Linked DNA regions of Arabidopsis thaliana. The protein of the gene in region 2 interacts with the protein of the main gene of each other region in a pairwise test. Each region holds a gene or a part of one and is shown on either strand. Other genes may lie near its edges.

Region 1 (3,760 bases), on a different chromosome or scaffold from region 2:
AAGAAGAAGAGGCAAAAGATTGACGGTTATTCATCAAAGTCTAGTTTCTGAACTCGAATATTCACTATTAATAGTTGGTAATCCATTTTCATTAGATGAATGTATAAATAAAGAATCCATAGCTTTAAAGTAATATAAAAAAAAAGAAACCTAGCTAGGGCTACAGCCTACAAGATAAGATTGAAAGGGAAAAAAGAAAAGAGACCTAGTGCAGTTAAAAGTCATTTTCGAAACTTATAAAATATTTTCCTGATAAGAATTATGCTATAGGAGATTAATTACACGATTAGGGTCGTTGATTGAAGCTAATTTTAACTGCTTCACCTCGCCGCATCAATTTAGAGACACCTAAGAGAAATTAAATCAGACATTCTTCTGCATGTGCCTTCACACGTGCCTGTAGTCCTCACTTCAATTTTCTCACCTGAAGAATCTTTTGATATTTTCTCTGTTTTCTTTTTTGTTCGGACCACAATTGTCACATTAATCCCACGAAAAAACATGTACTGGAACAGTACAATTTTTTCATCATTTAATCACCTTTTTTTTTTGGTGAATTTTTAAAATAATCAAGATATTTTCATTGAAGTCTCAGATAGTTATTTGTTTTTTCATTCTCAATTCCATAAATCACAAATTTCACATTCAAAGTCTCAGAAATTTACATTTTATCCCTCATCATGACCTAGATATGGCACAAAACTTACAAAAAAAAAAAAAACGAATTAACGATGCAAAAGGCAAAAGCTAAGATTTTTTAAATACATCATTGATCAGAACAACTCCTAATAATTCAATCCCAATTCCAATTTTTTCCAATATTACTCATCATCAAGTAGAGTTATGATCCAACCCGAATACCCGACGCAACCGGGTCAGATGCTGCAAACAGTTCTTCAGAACTGTTCACAATAAGACGATCCTCTGTTTTTCTCTTCCCTTCCTCTGGTTTTGTCAATGTGTCTCACCGTTACTTTCACTACTCCGCGGCACCACCTGATCACTTCCCTCCACGTCATCATCTTCATCGTCATCATCGTCACAAGTACACGTTTTTACCGACGGCGTTGCTAAGTAAGTAGGTTTGACATTTCCGGCCATAATCACCAAGAACTTCTCCGGCAAAGCTACAGGCTTCACCGCCGTTTTGTCAGGTTTCACATCTCCGACTTCAAGATCTCTCTCTCTGCTCTGGTTTTCCTCGCCGTCTAGATAACCGGAGAGACGCCAGTAAGAGCAAGCGAGGATTAGAAGAGCAAAAGCTATGAGACCAAGCATCGCTGCTAAACCACCAAAGAGATAAGGAACCGGTGAATGCCACGGTGAGTGAGGTCCTCCTCCCATGGTGGTTCTGTTTCCTTCAACGTTTTCTCTCGGAGGGTAATATTGTCTTCCTTCCATTTTTTTTTCACAAAGATGGTTTTGAGTTTTGAGTTTTTTTTTTTTTTAGGAAAATGTTTTGGTGTGAGGAGGAAGATGAGTGAGGAAGGGTTTTATAGAAGAGAAGAAGCGAATTAACGTTGTGGATTGTGTGTGACGTATCAATTTTTAATTTTATTATTTTGCGTATGAGATTCTTTTTACTTCTGATTTATGGAAATTTTTCTTATTTATTTATGTATTTGTATGTAATGAGTGAGTTGGAGAAAAAAGCAATATGAATTCAGTTTTTATGTTTCTCAGTTATCATGAATGATTATATGGAGTCGTGACGTGAGTGCATAACTTATGTTATGTCTTATTTTTGCCGTTTGCTAAAGTAATCGAGATGGTGTGTACAAAAGGATTAACCACTGAATATATATATAATTTGTAAATGAAAAAATAAACATTTAACAAGTTTTCCTATGATTTCCAAACATATTTTTAAGAGAAAATTCTTAATTCAATGGTAAACTTTTTTTTTTGGCTGTTGAGATTTACCATACTCATTTTTTTTTGTCCGTTTTGAGTCGCTTACCAACATAAAAGATAACTAACATATCTACTTTTTTCTTTCTAGAGTAATGTGTGTATGTGTTTTACTTAGAAGTTTACATAAATAATCGACGTTCACATTCACAGCAATAGCATTTTAAAAATGATTGGTAACATTTATAATCTCAGCAAGGTTAAGGGTTTATATATTTCAAAAATTGAAACTACATGCTTTACAGAGGAATGTTATGTATAGTTAGCAAGCCGTGTAATGATGAGCTTCTGTTGGTTTAGGTGCCGGTGATTAGTTGGGACCCAATTAATGTGGTCTGTTTCTTAATCAGTATTCCTTACTACTTTTTAAGCTTAATCAGTGGATAATTTCAAAAAATATCTTCGATTCTATCATACTCCAAGGAATTATAATATTAGTAATCATTTATTGTAACACTTAAACACTGTTTTAGATAATTAACAACCATTCACATAGTGTCGAATCCACTCGAATAAAATATAGTATGACTTTACAGAAAATATCTGCTGAGTGGTTATACTCTCTACTAGTACAGCGTAAGATCAACATCTACTTGGCTAATAATTATTTTTCTAATTTACAGTGGAAAAGTGAGACATGAAAACATAAGAGTCATGAAAATGATGAATTTTTTAACTAGAACAAAAAAACCAATGATTGATGGCTAATAGATAAAGAAACACTCTGAAGAAGAAAGAGGGTTTAAAAGAGGCAATTAAAAGGGGAATAAGATAAGGACAAGAGACTGACCAAAAACGGTTCCGTTAAAGCCGCTAAAATTTAGGTGAGCGATGCAAACGTGAAGAGATAGCCGGAAACGTAATAACCGTTAACGCCAAACAAGTAAAGTGAACGTTACCTAAAACAACTAAAATTACATGTTTGTTTAAATCTTCTTACTTCGAGTTCCACTATACATATTTATAACCAACTTTATTGTATCTCCAACATATTGATATATATGCAAGATATGCATGATTGTTAAAGAGCAAATGAATTCGTATGAGACCTTGAAACTCGGCAAAGCAAGAACAACAAGACTCACACTCGCTCTCAATAATTTTTCATGCTGTATTCATATACATAATTAATTAACTACTATATATAGACAATTTTTTCACATATATACAGCATAAAAAATAATTATGATAGGTATATATATATATATATATATATATATATGTTATCATATTTCATCGTGAACTGTGAACACATAAATATAAATGAAAAAACAGACGGTAGCCCACCACCACCATAAATTGCTTTTAACAAGTGACTATTGATTTTATCATATATAAAAAAATCCACTATGCACCAAAATCATCATTCTAACAAGAACATACCAAATTTTACGTTTTTAAAATATTTTAATGATATATTAGAGGAGTACAGAAAATTTTATATATCATCAAAAAGGAAAGTGGGAAACCCCAATGAAAAAAAGCTGGAAACAACATACCAAACCATATGCCTGAGGTCTCAATTATCTCATCAATGATAATTTTAAAAATTATAGATGAGATAACAAAAATGGTCCCATGTTTTTGCACAGTCTATTTGGATCAAAGTTTATTTGGTCAAGTTCCTATCATTTGCTTTTTCTCGATTAGTCAAACACATTGAGAAAACGATTAGAACAATTGAAAACAACTCACACTTTATGATGTTAAAATTTTGTTTCAATAGTTTGTTTTACTAGTTAAAAAGAGAGTGTCCGAACTTTTAGACAACTCGTTTTAAGAGATCAGAGTATAACTTATTCGCGACAAAACATTTTAGTTCGATTTGAAACAAGTTATATTTTTCTGG
Region 2 (3,760 bases):
AAAATTGGAAACGATCTCTCTTTTTGGGATCTTACACAAAGTACACATGTACGAAATTCCTCATTGATACATCATTCCTCATTACGAACCACACAATTAGATCTAACATATATATATTTGTTCCACTCAAATACAAATCTTGTTAGGGTAACATCACCTCTGAGGAAACGACAAAATGAAGTTAATGAAAGTATTTGGCTTTAGATGGATTCGTAGATAGTACGTGACACGTTGCTGATATGCGGACTTCAGATAAATTATCGGCTAGTATCATAAAGATAATGTAAGGGTCTAAGCATACTCACTAATTAACGAAATATCTTCTTAGAAACACCTGAGCTCGATCTATTTCAATCATAGTGACTCAAACCTAAGAAAATCTTTGACATATGTATATTACATTAGTGTTCCAAGAAGATGCTACGTTCGACGTCATATTTGTTATCCTGTAAATTATAACAAAGATGCATCAACATTCAACAGAGAACAAAGTTTAGTTTTTATATATATATATATGTCACGATCATAGGTCTACATAACTATAAATTGATACAATTGATTTTACAGATTTTACACAACATATGTATCCAACTTGATGATATATCCGGTCTGCCGTTTCCCACTATATATAGAGTATTTTATAATTGATTCCCATTTATTTTTCTTAGTTTATATATGTTCGTCTTTTGGAATTGCTTAATGAAAGTGTGTGCGAGTGGTTAGGTATGCGATTCTATTATGTCTCTTTATTTATTTTTGATTTCGAATCGCACCACTACCTTCGTATGGGAATGTTTCAATATGATATCTATCTGTATATGATCACGAATATAATTTGATTTTGATCAAAATCAACATGTAATATAATTTCACGTAATATCAAACATCCAATAGTTACAGTTTAATCTGGCTACTGAATATATATATATATATATATATATATCTTCCTTTGAAAGAATGTTTATATATTTTTATTCTTTGTGACGTTTTTTTTAGCTAATGGTGATCTCTTGACTCTAAATTCATACAAATTTTTTAAAAAATTAGCTTAGGGTTTTGAAAATATAAAAACTCTTTTAGGGCTTATGTTTTCTTTTTGGTCAACGGAGCTTATGCTTTTGTAGAAACACTAATTTTTAAGACATTAAAGTATACATCAGTTTTGTTTTGTGTTTTGGGTTAAACTTATACACAATTATTCAAAGACGACAAAACAAGTTTAAATATGAATTCCAAAATACCAGTTCATCTTTTCGGACTACTGTATATAAGAATATTATGTTGGCAAAAAGTAGGTTTATTATAGGTTAAAAATAAAAATAAAGTATAGCCTACTTTGTTAGGAATACATATTAAACTTCACACTAATTACTAGTAGATATTTAGGCAATATAAGTCTAGAAGCGGAAAGTAGACAATGCCTATTGCCTAGTATACATTTCGGACAGCACAAGTGACTTTTAACTCTTTAATCACACAGAAGACAGAACTATGCAATGATCGACAACTTCTTCACTCTGTAAAATATTTGGATTTCTCAATTAATGGTTTCTGAAAATAACATCATCTTTTTAAAGCATGAACAAATTAATCCTAATGTAGACCTAAATAAAAATCTTAAGACCATCTTTATCAGTAAAAACAAGGAAAGATTCTAAAAAAAAATAAAAATAATATTTTAATTAAAACAGATACATTAATTATTATTTAATAATTGAATTAATAGTATGATGACACTTGTCCAAATTGGATGAGAATAGTTTCTCAAAGTTTCTCGGAAGAGAAATTCAACTCTCCTTCTCTTCTACTTTTTTTTCCTTCTATCATACTTTTTCTTCTTTAATTATTTTTTTTTTTTATTGGGTATCTTATTGAGATACTTCAAATGGAGATGCTCTAATAATTAATGGGAATGTGTTTCTAATTAAAAAGATAACATCTTTCTTTCTATATTTTTGTCGTCATATAACACACCTCAACTCTTTTAAGTACTCGTGTTGAATTTTGTTTTTTGAAAAGACAAAACTCCTTATAATCAACGTAATTATTAATAACAAGGAGAAAAAAAGTCCAAAGAAAAAAAAAAGAAAGCTTTTTGGGAACATAAACACCATCGAAGGAGGGTGGGAGGTGTTTTATGTTCATGGGTGGAGCTTCTTGGCCAACCTGACCCCATTCATCATATCATTACCCACTTTCTTCTCCTAAATTATTCTCTCTTATCTCTCTCTCTCTCTTTTTATTTTCTTTCTTTCTTAATTCATCTAAACTCTCTCTGCTTTTGCTTTTCGTAATTCCTTACATTTCACTCAATATTAATCCCCAGAATCTCCGATCCACCCACAAATTTAGCAATTTTCTGAGATTTGATCATTTGGGTCACCAAAAAATCTTGTCTTTTTGATCTGGGTTTAACGCCAATAACATATGGGAAACATTAGCAGCAGCGGTGGTGAAGGTAGACGCCGTCGACGGCGAAACCATACGGCGGCTCCACCACCACCTCCTCCTCCTCCTTCTTCTTCTCTTCCTCCACCACCTCTACCTACAGAAATCCAAGCTAATCCCATCGTTTTCGCTGCCGTTACTCCCTATCCTAATCCTAATCCTAATCCGGTTTACCAGTACCCTGCTTCTTACTACCACCATCCTCCCCCGGGAGCCATGCCTCTTCCGCCGTACGACCACCACCTCCAACATCATCCACCGCATCCTTACCACAACCACTCTTGGGCTCCCGTGGCGATGGCCAGATACCCTTATGCTGGTCACATGATGGCTCAACCGACTCCTTACGTTGAACACCAGAAAGCCGTCACGATTCGTAACGACGTTAATCTCAAGAAGGAGTCTCTTAGGCTTGAACCCGACCCGGATAATCCGGGTCGCTTTCTCGTCTCCTTTACGTTTGATGCAACCGTCTCCGGAAGGTAGATTTCACTTTCTCCCTTTCGTTGATTTCGTGATCCATTTGAGCAGATAACACGTGAATTTTGTTGTGTTCTTCCTCGTGACTATGTAATTTGGATCTTCTTATTGCAATTTGATCAAATCTTCTTCATGTGTAATTGAATTAAGCTTATGTTATTATGTTGGACTTGTGAAAAATAGGATTAGTGTCATTTTCTTTGCTAAAGAATCCGAAGATTGCAAACTCACAGCGACAAAGGAAGATATACTGCCACCTATCACTCTAGATTTCGAGAAAGGACTTGGTCAGAAGTTTAAACAATCATCTGGTTCTGGTATAGACTTTTCGGTCTTTGAGGACGTTGAGCTGTTCAAAGCGGCCGCAGACACAGAGATCTATCCATTAGCGGTTAAGGCAGAAGCAGCTCCCTCAGGTGGTGAGAATGAAGAAGAAGAAAGGTCGGGGTCGAAGAATGCGCAGATTACTCAAGCGGTTTATGAGAAGGATAAAGGAGAGATTAAGATTAGAGTGGTGAAGCAGATACTATGGGTTAATGGAACGAGATATGAGTTGCAGGAGATTTATGGGATTGGGAATACAGTTGAGGGGGATGATGATTCAGCTGATGATGCTAATGATCCTGGTAAAGAATGTGTTATATGTTTGTCTGAACCACGAGACACCACTGTTCTTCCATGTCGACATATGGTAAGTGAAAGCTGATGATTTACTACTATTATGTGATGATGGACATATATATAGATGTTAAAAATTGTTTGGGTTTGGTGGTGCAGTGTATGTGTAGCGGATGTGCTAAGGTATTGAGGTTTCAGACAAATCGATGCCCCA

Evidence for each region. The genes of interacting proteins can lie anywhere in the genome.
Region 1: the proteins of LOG2 (region 2) and GDU3 interact in a two-hybrid assay, tested with the Arabidopsis thaliana proteins (2 studies listed by BioGRID).

Annotation. Positions count from the first base shown.
Region 1 is NC_003076.8:23,365,402-23,369,161, forward strand, and holds GDU3 (glutamine dumper 3), read right to left. Parts: upstream 1,663-3,760; 5' UTR 1,402-1,662; coding exon 955-1,401; 3' UTR 404-954; downstream 1-403. UniProt on the Arabidopsis thaliana protein: Probable subunit of an amino acid transporter involved in the regulation of the amino acid metabolism. Stimulates amino acid export by activating nonselective amino acid facilitators.
Region 2 is NC_003074.8:2,996,503-3,000,262, reverse strand, and holds the start of LOG2 (RING/U-box superfamily protein), read left to right. Parts: upstream 1-2,007; 5' UTR 2,008-2,427; coding exon 2,428-2,930; intron 2,931-3,111; coding exon 3,112-3,619; coding exon of another isoform or gene 3,620-3,634; exon of another isoform or gene 3,635-3,705; coding exon 3,706-3,760. UniProt on the Arabidopsis thaliana protein: Acts as an E3 ubiquitin-protein ligase, or as part of E3 complex, which accepts ubiquitin from specific E2 ubiquitin-conjugating enzymes and then transfers it to substrates (in vitro).